Linked DNA regions of Ovis aries. The protein of the gene in region 1 binds, or shares a complex with, the protein of each later gene. Links are inferred from orthologs where the notes say so. Each region holds a gene or a part of one and is shown on either strand. Other genes may lie near its edges.

Evidence for each region. Proteins that work in one complex are often made in the same cells at the same time.
Region 2: the proteins of UBL4A (region 1) and BAG6 are in contact, whole or in part, in a crystal structure (PDB 4X86), measured with the Homo sapiens proteins. The link is inferred for Ovis aries from reciprocal best matches to the Homo sapiens genes UBL4A and BAG6. Residues at the interface, in NP_055050.1 of Homo sapiens: Val95, Leu98, Ile99, Val102, Leu103, Arg105, His106, Phe107, Ser108, Asp111, Arg114, Val115, Gln118, Leu119, Asp122, Tyr123, Glu124, Ser126, Leu127, Ser128, Leu130, Ile135, Leu138, Arg141, Phe142; in NP_001092004.1 of Homo sapiens: Gly1052, Pro1053, Leu1055, Leu1057, Ala1060, Val1061, Ala1064, Ala1065, Ala1067, Ala1068, Ala1070, Arg1071, Pro1072, Leu1073, Thr1074, Ser1078, Leu1079, Asp1082, Leu1083, Glu1087, Val1088, Ser1091, Tyr1092, Gln1095, Leu1096, Asp1099, Ile1100, Arg1103, Leu1104.

Annotation. Positions count from the first base shown.
Region 1 is NC_056080.1:79,951,872-79,959,452, reverse strand, and holds UBL4A (ubiquitin-like protein 4A), read right to left. Parts: upstream 4,353-7,581; 5' UTR 4,310-4,352; coding exon 4,262-4,309; intron 4,109-4,261; coding exon 4,003-4,108; intron 3,702-4,002; coding exon 3,487-3,701; intron 3,379-3,486; coding exon 3,272-3,378; coding exon of another isoform or gene 3,268-3,271; exon of another isoform or gene 2,838-3,267; coding exon 2,714-2,837; 3' UTR 2,711-2,713; exon of another isoform or gene 1,822-2,710; coding exon of another isoform or gene 1,710-1,821; 3' UTR 1,656-1,709; downstream 1-1,655. Other genes in the region: SLC10A3 (P3 protein), read right to left, coding at 5,224-6,681. UniProt on the Homo sapiens protein: As part of a cytosolic protein quality control complex, the BAG6/BAT3 complex, maintains misfolded and hydrophobic patches-containing proteins in a soluble state and participates in their proper delivery to the endoplasmic reticulum or alternatively can promote their sorting to the proteasome where they undergo degradation.
Region 2 is NC_056073.1:26,729,151-26,736,126, reverse strand, and holds part of BAG6 (large proline-rich protein BAG6), read right to left. Parts: intron 6,630-6,976; coding exon 6,512-6,629; intron 6,399-6,511; coding exon 6,202-6,398; intron 5,965-6,201; coding exon 5,911-5,964; intron 5,749-5,910; coding exon 5,674-5,748; intron 5,138-5,673; coding exon 4,899-5,137; intron 4,374-4,898; coding exon 4,244-4,373; intron 3,623-4,243; coding exon 3,425-3,622; intron 3,215-3,424; coding exon 2,962-3,214; intron 2,604-2,961; coding exon 2,526-2,603; intron 2,415-2,525; coding exon 2,307-2,414; intron 2,185-2,306; coding exon 2,072-2,184; intron 1,965-2,071; coding exon 1,877-1,964; intron 1,757-1,876; coding exon 1,473-1,756; intron 767-1,472; coding exon 469-766; intron 322-468; coding exon 152-321; intron 1-151. UniProt on the Homo sapiens protein: ATP-independent molecular chaperone preventing the aggregation of misfolded and hydrophobic patches-containing proteins.

The DNA of each region.
Region 1 (7,581 bases):
TAAGAACTGAACCGGGGTCTCCTGCATTGCAGGCGGATCCTTTACCAATTGAGCTATCAGGGAAGCCCAGAGCTAGGGGAAGTGGAAGGAAAAGTTGGAGAGGGCAGGCAGAAGAGGTGGAGAGGGCAGGCAGAAGAGGTGGCCTGGGGCAGGTCCCCAGTAGCTCCGGGAGGCTGCTCTGGCTGGGCCTTGGAGGGGGACAGGGTGACAGGGGTGAGCATCTCTCCCGCAGGCTTTCCAAGGCCCAGGGCACAGAGGCCGCCATGGCCCTTGCATCTCCCGCTGGCAGGGCCTGACCCGTCCTCAGCAGCACTTGTCAGATCTATTGGACCTGGTAAGGCTGGCTTTTGTCCAGGCTTGCGTGGAAAGCAAGGCACCAGCAAATTGTGCATGCAGCTGATCTTTGCCTGGGCGTTTTCCAGCTCAGCAAGCCCCACCCCAAAGGAAACGCTGCTTTCCTCTGAGCCTACCCCTCCGCCAGTGTGCCCATGGCAAGTGGCACCACAGGCATCTTATTCCAGGTGCCGGACTGTTGCTGTCTGGGGCCACTTCAGCTGGGCGTTTCACTCGCCCTGCCATCTCCTAGTGGGGCTGTTTCAAGGCTCCTCCACGAGGAGAGAGTGGTCTCAGGCCAGGGGATGGGAGTGGTAATGGGGGGGTCAGTGCCCACCTCTGGGGCAGACACTTGGCTCAAGGGGCACAGTGATGGCCTTAAACATTCCAGCCCCTATGGAAGGATACTGCAGCATTTGGAGCCCGCAGTGTACATGGGGCCACCCCCTCACCCAGAAACTAAGGACAAAGGCAGGGCACAGCCCGTGGCCATTCTATCCTCTAGCGATGGCACAAGGCCTAGACCAGAGCCTCCGTGGCCCCTTCCCACCTAGGCCTCCCATCTCTCATCCCAGCACCTCTTCCCTGTCTCCCCACCCCCACCCCCCATAGCTACACACTCCTGCCCAGACAAGCTTCTGGAACCAGGGGTCTCCAGTCACTGGCAAGACTTTCCCCCTCTCCACCATGCAGCAACTTCTTGCCCTAATATCACCAATGACCTTCTTGTTAGCTTGACAGGAGGCTGCCCTCTTTTGCTTCTTGGCAGCACTATACACTCTGTACCCTGGCTGGAGGGGCCTTCCTGGCCTCTGACTCCAAGCTCTCCCTGTGGCCTTGCGTCTGCAGAGGTGCCTTGGCCTCTGCAGTGTCTCCAGTTGGTGAAGTCTCCCCCAGGTCCAGTGCTCTCCCCTTTCTTCGGTCATGCTCTCTGGGAAGTAATTTCATGCATCCTCGCAGTGTCTGGGACATTGTGTCCACAGGCCCTCCGGAATGTCGTGGAAAACTGCACAGGGCCGCGGAATCAGCCTGTCGGGCCTGTCAGCAAGGCACCTACTATACACCTGGGAGACACCACTCCTGTCTCCATGGGCAGCCTGAGCTCCCCGATGACTTTCTGCACCCAGCAGATGGCTCCTAGCTACCACAGGGTCATCACCTCCCAGTCGGGAGGCACACAAGACTCACCAGCTGTCTCTTGTGTCTGTCAACAAGACCCGTCTGCACGCGTCAGCTCTCCCCGAGGACCCGGCCTTCCTGAGAGTTGCCCTCTCCCTTCCACAGCCCACCCAAGCCCCTGATAAAATGATGGAGGCACCCGGTTCTAAGCATCCAAAAGGGACAGCGTTTATTTGTTGGGGCAGCTGAGGAGGAAGCTACGCTAGAGGACGGGAAGGTGCTCCGTGCTGGCTGTGACCGAGGGGTTCGGTGGAAGCTGCAGGCAGCCATCTTCTGATCCTGAGGTAGAGGCCTGGGATGAAGCAGACACTGCAGAGTGCAGAGGGGAGGTAGGAAGAAACTGGGTATTTGGGGAAATCATTTATCTGCTGCCAATACCCCTGGACTTCTCAGTTTCGCAAACCAATACCTTCTCTTTATTGCTTAAACCTATGTCCTGTAATGGTTAAATCAACGATGGGGAAACCAAAAGCAGTTCAACTAATAGAGTTCCTTTCAGGTCAAAGTCTCACATGCACCTCTAGTGTGACTGAGAAGGTCAATATAAAATTTCCTGACTACAAAGAAATGAGAGCGTAGGGAAGTCTATCACATGAACCTTGTGGCAGTGCATGCCCAGCTCCTGGGTGGAGCCATGGACTTCCACCTGCTCTTCAAAGCCTTTGGCCCTCGAGCCACTGTCTGTCCTCCCCACCTGGGGACCCAGCACTTACCCTATGAGGCTCAGGCCGGAGAGTGGCCCAGGTGCCCTCCTCTGAGGAGCAGGTGCCTAGACGATCTCTACGACCCACCCCCCAGCTTCTGCCCCCACCCAGGTTCCCTCTCAGACAGTGAGTGGTGTGCACAGTGGGAGGCCCTGTCCACATGTGGCAGAGGATGGGCAAAGGGTACAGGGGCCTGCTCGAGTCACCTCGAGACCATCACCTGTCATCTCTAAAGGTCATGGACCGCTTGTGTCTGGGAGGAGAAAAGAAGGGGGTGCCCAGAGAAAATCTGTGACACTAAGGGCCAGGACATTCCGTCTCTGGGCCACGCTTGGCCATCACTCAGAATTTGGCCTCAGTTTGTATCTGGGACACAGGAGTAGGATGCCTACAGACTCCTGACCCCAGGCTTTGGAGCTAAAGAAAACTAAGAGAGTCTCAAGAACAGCCCTCACTGAGCAGAGTTGAAGGCTGGGGACCAACGTGGCACCTACGTGTCACTCCCCAGAGTCGGGTGACATCCTAGACTCCCCAGCCCGCCTTCCGTTTGAGTGCATACTGGTTGCAGTCACTAAGGGGGCCCAAGGCTGGCCATCACCTGACCTCTTGCCAATGCCGGACCTGTCAAGGATGAGGTGACAGAACTGGGCATCAGGGGCTAGCTGCTTCCCCTTCCAGGCCTGGAAAAGGTATTGCTCGAGGGTTTCTCCTCAGTGGGCTAAACCTGGAATGTCCATGGCCACCCCTCAGAACCCGTCTGAACGACCCTTTTCTCCTTCTCACCCTGAAGTACTTCTGGAAGCTGGCTGGACTCAGAATCTGGCTCCTTGCCTTCTCCGCTAGGAGCCTCGGCTGTCTCACCTTTTGTGCAACATGTGGGAGCCAACCTGGGTCAAGAGCTTTGAGTGGGGCCTGGCACCTAACATGAGCCAGATACAGGTACCCGAGTACCCGCCAGGCAGTATTATGAGCCAAGTTGCAATACAAGAAGACATTTAATGCTACATGCAGCTTGTGGCCTGGCCAGGCTCCTCCCCACACTCCGAGAATCCTACTTGGAGAACCCCTTCTCCATAGCTTCAGTCGCTTCGGGGTGCAGGAAGCGGCCAGCCAAACGTTCAATGTCATCCAGCGTCAGGCGGCTCAGGGACCGCTCATAATCCTGAAGAGAGAAAGCCAGAAGGATTCAGGGGTGTGGCTTGGGGCGGGGGGGCCCGCTGGGACAGAGGCAGGTGGGCAGGATGCAGAGGTCCTGGGCCACGCTTCTCACCCTCTGGAGTTGATCCAGGACTCTGCTGGCATCGGCGGCGCTGAAGTGCTGGGCCAGGATTCTGGAAATGAGCGGCCAGGCGGCGGGCGGTGGGGCTGGGGCCTCGGCCGTTTTCCGCGCAGTGCTTTCTTCCAGCAACACCTTCTCCAGAGGTTTGACCACTAGGTTGAGCTTGGAATTCGGCCCGATGCTGTAATCGGAGAGTCTTTTCCCATCTGTCCGAAAGAGAGAGGGAGAGGGAGAGAGGGAGAGAGGGAGAGAGGGAGAGAGGGAGAGAGGGAGAGAGGGAGAGAGGGAGAGAGGGAGAGAGGGAGAGAGGGAGAGAGGGAGAGAGGGAGAGAGGGTCGCACTGACCCTCGGAGAGCCTAGGCGAAGCGCAGCGGTGAACTCCCGGGATGGGGGTGGGGGTCACCTAGCCAGAGCCCCCTCCACCTACACTGCTGCCCGGGCCTGGGCTGGACGCCCCGTCCCCTGGCTTCCCGCGGGTCTCCCCCAGCGTCCCCTCTTCCTGGTTACCTGCCAGGGCCTTGCCCTTGAACAGCAGCCGCTGTTGGCGGACGGGGATGTTCAGCTTTTCGGAGACCAGATGTTTCAGCGTGGACACCAGCTCGTCCTCCGACACCTGTCCCGGCCGAGAAAGGTGGGCGGGGGGTGAAGCCGCGGCCCGCGCGGAGGGTGGCTCTCCCGAGGCGGCTAGCCCGCCGGGTCCGTCCCTTCCCGCGGCTCGATCCCGCACCCGCGGGGCTGACCGCGCAACCCAGCCCGGCGATGCTACCTGAAGGCTGCACTCGCGGCCCTGGAGTGCCTTCACCGTCAGCTGCATGGCGGCCGCCGAGGCGTCCACTCGGGCCGGCGCGCACCCCAACGGTCCGCCGCCGCGCGCCGCCGCCCCGGGCGCGCGCCGGAACCGCCCGCCGCCGCCGGAAGCATCGCGAGGGGCGAGCCGGGCATCGCGGCCCCGCCCCGCCGGCCCCTCCCCCCACAACCTGGACTGTCCTCCGCGGAGCCCGGGGCGACGGAGCCCAGAAGCCCGCGGAGAGTGGAAAAGGGTGGCGGGACCAGTCGGGCTCGCTCGAAGGAGTTGGGGAGCTGGGCCCGGGGAGACGGCGGGCCGGGAGTTCGCGCGCCACCGCCCGTGGGCAGAGCAGGTCAACGCTGATGCCCATCCCATCCCCTGCCTCTCAGGAGCCTGCAGAAGACCCGGCCCCGCCGAGCTCGTTTCACCACCCGCCGGCCTCTTTTTTACTTCACCTGTGGAAAAGCAACTGAGCTTGGGATCTGGTGGGGGAGTCAGGCCTCTGCCCTTCCCACTGCTTCTTCTAGAACAGATACACAGCTCTCAGAGGTGATGCAGGGGCGAGGAAGGCTAAATCTGGCCAGAGGTCACTGTGTCGCCAAGCCAGCCCTCCATCCTGGCCCACACCTACCTGGCCACACCACGCCCTTCCTTCCCCGACCCGCAGGCCTCAGAGGGCAAAGACAGCATGATACCCAAGCTTGCTTCTGTTTTATTGAAATATATTTTCTGGGCAGTGCCCGCTTACAGAACTCAGCATGGCCTCTTTGGCACTGAAAGCTGGAGAATAAAAAACGAGTAAAAAAAATAAGCCTGGATTTTTTTTTTTTTCTGAGTGCATAGTGCATGAGAACTAAAGGCCTTTGGTACACAAGAATGGTGGGGACAGTTGATGGAGGTTGGGGGCTGGGGGTGCCTGGTGAAAGCTTGACCCGGGGGCCTCAGGGAACGGTGCACACGCTGCTATAGATAAAGTGGCCAATTACTAAGGCCAGCATCTCCGAGGTGCCACTAAGTGCCACAAGGAAAGGGGCCTGGGAGGCATAGTCAGCCTGGAGGCGGCGGAGGGACAGCTGCAGCATGGCCAAGGCCAGAAGGCTGTTCTGCACCCCAACCTCGATGCTGACAGTCCGCCGCTGGGCCACTGGCAGATTCAGGCATGTGGCCAGGCCGTAGCCCACCAGGAGGCCGACCAGGGGCACTGTGAAGCCCACCAACACGATGGGCAGCCTGACGCCTGCCAGGATGAAGACCCCCATGCGGTAGGCCAGGAAGAGGCCACCCAGGAGCAGCACAAAGCTGAAGGGCTTGATGACATGCAGCAGCAGCTGCGAGAACTTGGGGAGCTTGGACTTGATTACCACGCCTGCTGCAATGGGGATGGCAATGAACAGCAGGGTCCCCAGGATCTTGGAAACAGGCACATGGAGTGTTTCATGGATGCTGAGCAGGCGACTGTAGATGGCTGAGGACAGCGGCAGGAAGCCGGTGGCAGCCACCGTTGAGATGAAAGTCATAGAGATGGCCAGAGTGACGTCCCCTCCGAGGAGGAGGCTGAAGAGGTAGCTCCCCCCGCCGCCGGGCGACGAGCAAGTGATGATGAGGCCCAGAGCCAGGGCCTTGGGCAGCATGAAGACCTTAGCCATCAGAAAAGCATAGAAGGGCATGACTAGGAACTGGCCCAGAAGGCCCAGCAGCATGGGCTGGGGGTTCTGCAAGAGCCCCTTCAGTACCTCGAGCTCCACTTTGCACCCAAATGAACACTTATTGACAAAGATAAGAGGCAGGAGCAAGTAGAGGATTGGGTTCTCTGAGAAGTGGACCAGGTTAGTGCCGAGGGTGATGGGGGTGTCTTCAGCGGGTGAGACCTTGATGCAGAAATCTCTCCGCTCTTCGATCAGCCTGGGCGGGGCCTCGCGGGGGTCCGTGAGCTGGATGTGGAGTGGGGCTATCCCAGGCAGGCCCGAGCGGATGCTTACCACGAAGCTGCCACCGCCGCCCCAGGCTATAGCACTCACATTCTTAATGGTCAGCACCTCTGGGTCCAGGGAGGTGACCCTCAGCATGGGGCTGGGTCCTGTCCCGTTGCCCTGGCCTGGGTAATGGCTTGTGATCACAATGATGCCCTCGCTCTCTTCTGGGAACTCAAACTCCATCACAGAGCCATCTCCAATGCTCAGGTAGCGGCCCCTGGTCAGGGGCATGGGATGGCCCAGAGCCGGGCTGAGACTGGCACTGGCTGTTCCCCGGGCCCCCCACAGCAGGCTGACAAGCAGCAGGGTGGCCCTGAGCATGCTTTGGGGGCCCGTGCAACCAGTGCCCCCTTCTGGGCCAGGCCACTGCAGGGAGCAGCCTTCACCACTCCTAAACACCATGGCTCCTTCCCAACGGTGGGGCATGCAGGCCCTCTGTGGCTTAGGAGACCAGCCTTGCTGGTGCCGTTGGGTGGTCCTCAGAAGGGTCCATGGGCGAGGTCTGGTGCTGGGCTCCCTTTCTTGATGGTAGAGCTCTTCCTGAGAAGAGAAGGGACATGGCGGTGGCTGGTGAGGGCGAGCAGCTGTGAGCCCAGGAGCATGACCGAGAAGCCCACTGCTGGGAGACTCAGCCGGGTTCCTTGCTGCAAGCCTGGGGATGGCCCTTGAGTGCCATTCGGGTGTCCCTTCCCCAGTCACAACTACCTCAAGCTTCCCCAGAAGGGGAAGGGACAGGTAGAACTTTGCCTTCGGCCTGCTGATTCAGGCTGATTTTGACAGTTCAGAGATGGCCTGACACCAGGGGATCAGCCCCAATCTTGTCACCACTAGCCTGTGCCCCACTTGCTTTGAGGCACAGTTGCGGCAGTACCACAACCAGGAGGAAATCTCTGAAGGACAGCCCAGGGATGCCCAGGAAGCAGGCCTGATGAGAGCAGGCCAGCTCACGGCATCTGAGTGTCATCTGACCAGCAGAGAGCAGCTGGCAAAGTGGTGTGGGCAGCGGGTGACCCCCGGGCCAAAGGCCCCATGTGCTGATGTTCACCACTGCCATGTGAACGGTGCTGCTGTGTGTGGCCATCTGGCCTACCTACCTGCTGACAGGGGCAAGATGGAGGTTCTGGGAGGAAGCAGGTCCCCTCTCTCCCCAGGGAAGTTGCCAGAAGGGGCAGCAGAAAGGGATCAGACATGGCCACGTGTCCACTGAGAGGTTTCTCCCCTTTCTGTCAGAGCTTTCACTCCCCTGGCAGGCCCAGAATTGGAGCTCCTAGAGCCACTGTGCCATCTGAGAGGCTCTGATCAGAGTTCAGGGATTCCTCCCATGCC
Region 2 (6,976 bases), on another chromosome or scaffold:
AATCCCACCCCTCAAGACATGTCCCCCTCCTCCCCTAGCAAGCCCAGAGTTTCGACTGGGGCAGTCACAGCTTTAGGCAAGGCGTAAACGAAGTCAGAAATAAGTAACAAAAGGTGAGATGGAGAACTCTGGGCCCAAGGTCTTCATTTACCCGGATGTTACCAGGTGTGGGCTCCTGGCCACCCAGGTAGTGCTGGTGGAAGAAAGATCGCAGCTGGGGCTGGAGCCGCTGCAGGGGCTGGAAATGCCCGTGGAGCAGCATCACCACATCCACCATGGAAAAGTTCTGGCATAGAAGAGAGAGCAGGGCCCCGAAGAAGCCTAGGGACAGGGACTGAGGTCAGCAGTGGCCTTTACCACCTGGCCTGCCCTCTAGCCCATCAGCCTCATCCCACCATCAACAAAGGCTACCCACTCTCCCCTGGCTGCCCGATCCCTAGAGAAGGCAGGGCACCCTTATCTGCTCACCGAGAGCCCCATCGGCCCCAGGCTCAAAGATGTTGCTGGACCCACTGAGGCGCTGTATGAAAGCAGCGATGCTCTCACTGCTGCCAGCCCGGGCCCCCAGGGAGCCCAGCAGCGAGCTCAGCACACCCTGCACCACTGAGGTGAAGAACTCCAATGGCAGGCTCTCAGGACCCACGCTGCCAGGACTCCCACTGCCACCAGAAGGGGACCCCGGTGGGGGTGCTGTCTGCTGCTCTGGGGCTGGAGGGGGCGGTGGGGGTGGGGGCGGCGGAGGAGGGGGAGCAGCTGTCTGTGTTGCCTGCATGAGAGGGACGGAATAAAGAACAGAGAGTGAAATTAGAATAAGGATATAGAACGGCATTATGCTTAGCTGCTCAGTCAGTCGTGTCGGACTCTGCAACCCCATGGACTGTAGCCTGCCAGGCTCCTCTGTCCAAAGGGATTCTCCAGGCAAGAATACTAGAGTGGATTGCCATGCCCTCCTCCAGGGGATCTTCCCAACCCAGGTCTCCCGCACTGCAGGCAGATTCTTTACCAGCTGAGCCACCAGGGAAGCTCATGAATACTAGAGTGGGTAGCCTATCCCTTCTTCAGGGGAGCTTCCTGACCCAGGAATCGAACCGGCGTCTCCTGCATTGCAGGCAGATTCTTTACCAGCTGAGCTACCAGGGAAGCCCCAAAAACGACACTGGGGAAGCACAAATCCACAGGAGTCTGGAAGGTATGGCGCGCTGTTCCAGTCTTTGTGCCTTATAGCAGAATATACATGGCGGCTTTTCATAAGCTGAGTCGGGTTGAGCAGGTACCCTCTGAACGGGTTAGCTCAGGAAAGCAGTGACACAATTATCATGCTTCTCTCTCCCAGCCCGTTTTCCTCATCTACCAAATGAAGGGTGCTAAGACAATCAATTCCCAAGGTTCCTTCCTAGTGGCAACAAGACACCCAGGACCTGGCTGGGCTCAGAAAGAGGCAGACTGAAGCGGAGAGTCAGCCAGCCACTCACCTGCAAGAAGTCCGTCATGCCCTGGAGAAAGGCGGGTACACCAGGCATCGCCACAGTAATGGTGGGAGAAGCCACACCAGGCCCTCCAGTTCCCGGCCCAGCAGGCCCCAGCAGGTTCCCCAGGAGCTGAGAGAACTGAAGATCAGAGGCGGAGGCTTGAGGAGGCTGAGGCTGGGCAGGCCCCCCTGGGGCAGGGCCAGCTGTGGTAGCCGTGTTGGTGGTGCCAGAACTAGCTGACGCAGTCGCAGGGGCTGGAGATGGAGCCATTCCTGGGGTCCCCTGAGCTAGAGAGCAAAAGAAGACAGCGGAAAGCTCAAGGAAAACAAGACCCCACAGCATCTCCATTCTGGTGGAGAGAACTGGGAAACCGCTTCCATCTGAGGTGAGGAAGGACACGGACTCACCCACAAGGACAGGCTGCATAAGAAGCTGCCCCACGAGGCCGCTCACCATCTGGGCTAAAGAGGCGTTGGTACCCAAACCAGCACCCGGCTGAGGGAAGAAGACAACGGCAGGCTTTCAGACTTGGCCTCTCCATGCCCTGCCACAGGAGTCTCTCCACACTCTTCCCTGATGGGACTACCCCACCCCTAACTCACCAGAGCCCCCGAGACCGGGGGCCCCCCAGGATGGGAAGGCCGAGCCTGTGGAGGCGTGGGCCGGGCAATCACCAGCCGGGTGGGAGCTGTCGGGAAGCCTGGCACCTGCTGTCCTGTGGGCGGCAGAGGGGAGAGACCGAAGACGGCTGAGGGCCCAGTCCGAGCAAGCCAGCAGACGACGCCCACCACCGTGGACTGGGCCCCACCTCCCAGGCTTCCCCTTTCAGGTTGTTACCTGTGGCCGCGGAGGCAACAGCTGCCACCATGGCCTCATGAGTGATCTGGTGGGCGACGGCGTGCATGAACTCAGGGGGCAGGGAGGGCAGCTGGATGAGGGTGGAGCCTGGGGGGTGGGTCTGATGTAACCTTGACCCTGGACCCCCTTCAACCCACCCACTCAGCCCTACCCCTTCTCTACCCAGAGCTCAACCTGCTCTGATGCCCTCACTCTTACCCAGGGTCTGGCCATGACCAGGGGGTCCTAGGGGGCCAGTGGGAGCACTCGGAACTCCACCAGGCTGTGTGCCAGAATCTGGGCAAGGAGACAGAGAAAGTGGCCTGAGACAGGCGGGGCCAAGGTCTAACTGGATCCTCCCAAGATCAGCGTGCTTCAGGCCTCCACTCCCCCGACCAGAAAAATGGCCTTTCACTCCATCTAGATGGGGAGGAGATGCTCCCTTCACCACGCACACAACTCTGTGAGGACAAGCCGTTCTTCCTGCCCCTCCCGACACACACCAACTTAAAGAGCCTGTGCTCTGCTCTGCGCCATCAGCCACCGCCACCAGCCCTGGCCTCTCCTTTCCCACCCTGGCACCCCCACATCTCAGCACCAACCCAAAACCCCTCCTTGCACCGCTCTGCTCTGCCAGCAGCTATTCCCAGCTCACCTTGGATGTTCATGTGCATCATGACCACGGGTTCCACACTCTGGTGGGAAATCCGGATGACCCTCGGGTGGCTGGTGGTCGGTGGGGGAGCTGGTCCTGGCGGGGAAGCCCCCTCATTCGAAGACTCCACGGCGGTAGAAGAAGGGGCCAGGGACGAGGCCTGCCCAGCACCAGCGGGAGGTGCCTCCGCACTTGGAGTCGGGGGGGGCCGTGTCCCGTTCCCCGTCATGGTCACAGTGGTCCCCACGTTGATCTGGACGACAGAGACAACGGGGCAGACGTGAGTGAAACACAAGCGCCTAACCCAGAGCACCCCATGACACGCTTCTAAAGTCTCCTCCATCCTGGGTCACCATGTTTGCCGAGTCTGCTCCCCTCCCAACCTCCTTGGAGCCCAACAGCTACGATGGATCACTTCATCAACAGCCCCCCATCTGTCCGCATCCAGGCTCTCCTGATCCACCTGGATGGGGATGGCCGCCTGCTGGAGCACCATGGGGGTGGTGTAGTGAGACATGGGCCGGACCACGTGCAGATGACGAGGGGGCGCACAGGCCAGATTGCAACGCAGGTCAGACAGTGCCACGAAGGTGTTGCCCAGCAGCCGCAGGCTCTCCCCCACCAAGTTGATCAAGCGCTGATCCTCCTCACGGCCCTCTTGCTGTACTCCCCGGGGCCAAACACAGAAAAGCAGAAAGCATTAGGCTAGGATCCACCTTGTTAAAAAAGTAATGCCTTTTTGAGATTGATTATCACATCCTCTCTGTCTTTTGAAGAAGGAAATGGAAACCCATTTCAGTATTCTTGCCTGGAAGACCCTATGGACAGAGGAGCCTGGCGAGCTACAGGCCACAGGGTCACAAAGAGTTAGATACAACTGAGCAAGTGAGCACTATGTCTTTAGGTACATCCTCTGAAGCTTCTGTATACACCAAATCTTTGCAAGTAAGCTCCAGTTTATACACACAAATAGCTTCCTTTGATAATAAATCCTACAGTGAATCAGTAAGCGATCACCTGCTAATCTCCCTTACATTATAAACTTGCTAAGTAACTAATTTAGGGGATCATGAAAGTGAGAAGACAGTGAACACCATAAAGATGTCAATGAGGAAAAGATCCTGTGTTCCTGTCAAGGAGGAAACAATCACTTCCTTCCTAATCTAAAGAGAAGCTGCTCTGCAGAAGATGACATCTTTTGGGGCACGGGGCAGGGGAAGTGATCTACGCTTCGCCCTGCTCCATCTGGGGGTGCTGGAGGTGAGGGGGTGGGTGGGCTCACATTGTTGTTGTAGTCTGTGGTGGCAGCAGCACCCAAAACCTCATAGTAGCGCTGCAGGAAGGGCTGGAGGCGGCTCTCAAGCCGCTGCAGCTCCTGAAGCACCTCGACATACTCCGCAGGCGAAGGGTGGCTGTGGGCAAAACCCAAAGCGGCCGTGAGCCGAGGCTTCCCTCAGACTCCTGCCCTTACCACCCGTGCCCCACTTCTCCCTGGCCTCCCAGAGCCCCAGCCTAACCCCCCACCCCACCCCCTGGAACTAGCAGAGCTTCTGTTCTTTAACCTCACCCAGGGGGGAAGGACAGGAAAAGACAAACTGCTTTCACCCTTCCCACAACACAATCCTGTACCTATAATGGCAAAACACCAACTCTTAAAAACCAGATAGGGCCTCTGGGTACTCAGGGGAGAGATGCTTGCCACCTCCGGGAGCACCATGTGGATTTCCTAAGCCAAAGAAGGGCAGCGCCTCTAGCTCAGTGGCCAGTCTCAATCTCATTTACCTACTCCAGAGCCCCCCGCACCGCCCCTCAACACTAACTCTACAAGCACCACCTCTGAACAATGTTTTCTCTCTCGTCAACCTTCTCCTGGTCCTTACACTTCACTTAGAATCCCCAACCCACTCCCACCCCAAAAGGTGCTCTCCCTCTCTCACTTGGGTGCATTTGTCTCTGGGGCAGAGGCTGGGCCCGCTGGGGCTGGGCCAGAAGGGGTGAGCTCCGGGCTCTGGGCAGGGGCACGCTCCTCCACTTCTTCCGCCTCCATGGGCTCCCGAGGAGGCACTTCACTTTCAACCGGTTCTGACGTTTGGGAGGTCAAGGCCACCGGCTCTGGTGCCACCGTTGGTGTCTGGGGTGGCGGCTGACTGTGCTGGGCTTGGGCACCCCCTCGGCACTGAAGCGGGAGAAGAGTCAGGACAACAAAGGCAACGTGAAACTGCAGCAGATTACTCAAGTCAGAGCAGCCTGAGTGGAGAAGGGGCACTAACTAGCCGCCCCGAAGGCAGGGCTCTGCATCTGAATCTGACTCCCTAAAACGTACACAAATTAGACGTGTGACAAACACCTATGATACTTACAAATAAACTATTAACAAAAACTAGGGGTTGTGGTTTCCTAGCCTCCAAGAGGAAAGAAGGACAGGACACTGGCTGCAAATACAAACTAATGAAGCTAAGCCATCCCAGCATCAAATATGACAATCAAGGAACAGGAAGGCAAGGAATCCTTCTTTAATTGCAAAGAGAATCAGCAGGGACAGGACAGCCTCAAAAGAAAGATACTTTTTCTGCCCAAAAGAGCACACACTGCAGAAAAGAGATTAGATTAAGAGGGGAGAACCCAGTGGATGTGACCAGTCATCCCTAGGCTGAGACAAAAGGGGTAGGGAGGATAGAGTGAGACAGGCAGTGGCCAGCCTTGCCCACTCACCTCCATCCGGGAGAGTAAGGTCTGTATATCCCTGATCATATGCTGAGCCATCACCAGCCGTACTCGGGGCTCACTCTACAATGAGAGAGAAAATCAGGTCAGGCTGGAGACAAAGCCACAAGCTCCATTACCTACTAAACCAGGACCCAGCCCCATCTCTTCAGCCAGACCCATCCCCCACTTTGTGGCCTCCTTCTCCCAGATCCCCTTCCTTGACCCTCCCAGGCCCTGTGATACCTGAATTGGGGCCTGTTCCATGTTGATGTGAACATCCACAGCAGAGCCGTCACTCTGAGGAAAGGGTAAGGGAAGTTGCTCTGGGAGAAGCCAAATACTAAGGCCCCCACGCTTCCAACTGATTCTCTGGTGCCCGACCCCTCTAGATTATCAAAGACAGAGGCTGTTACCAGACCAGAGAGCCCACCAAAGCCCTTCTAAAGACTGACACACCTCTCTTATGAACTCTTGGCTGCTACCACAACCAAAACTGACCCCACAAAAACCCTCCCGTGAGGAACACAAGCTTACGGGAAGATTGAAGGTTCCAACCATGACATAGCTGTTGGCATTCCGGTCATGAACAGAGGCCCCAGGCCCCCGAGTACCAGGCGTGGGTCCCCCACCATGGGTGGCTGAGGTGGACCCTGTTCCAGAAGATGCTCCAGAAGGGAGCTGAGTCTGAGGAGGAGCCCGTTCCACAAGGTGAATAACCTTTCCCCCAACATCTGCAGAAAAAAGATACACACCAAAACATTACATGATCAGGGAAACCCTTGGCCTCAGCTCACTGCTCTGGACAGCAGCCTCAAGCTCTGCTCTGCCTCCCCCACCCCCTTACTGTATTCTTGGAGCTTCTTATCATCCTGCAGAACTCGTCCCTGGTAGATAAGCCGTTGTTTCTCAGATGGGATGCTAACAGAAGCAGCAATATGTTCCTTAAACTCCTTTACGTTCATCTGTAGGGAAGAAGAAACATGACGAGGAATCGGGGGTGGAAGAAAAAGGACAGAAGGGGGACAGCTGACTTGTAAGGGGTAAAAACCATCCCATCCTAAAATTACTACCCACCTGTCTTAATTGTGAGGTAATTATTGAGCAAAGCCCTGAACTAGGGCAACACTTGTCAAAATACATACAATAAACGTAACGAACTTCAGGTACAGGCCCAGGAGAAAACTACAGGGCTGAAGACCAGAAACACCAACTGACATTCTCTTCTCTCCCTCTCTGCCTGGCTCCAAAAGGAATGTGTGTGCCTAGAGATACCGGTGACCCCTCCACAAACACAAAATGATACAACACT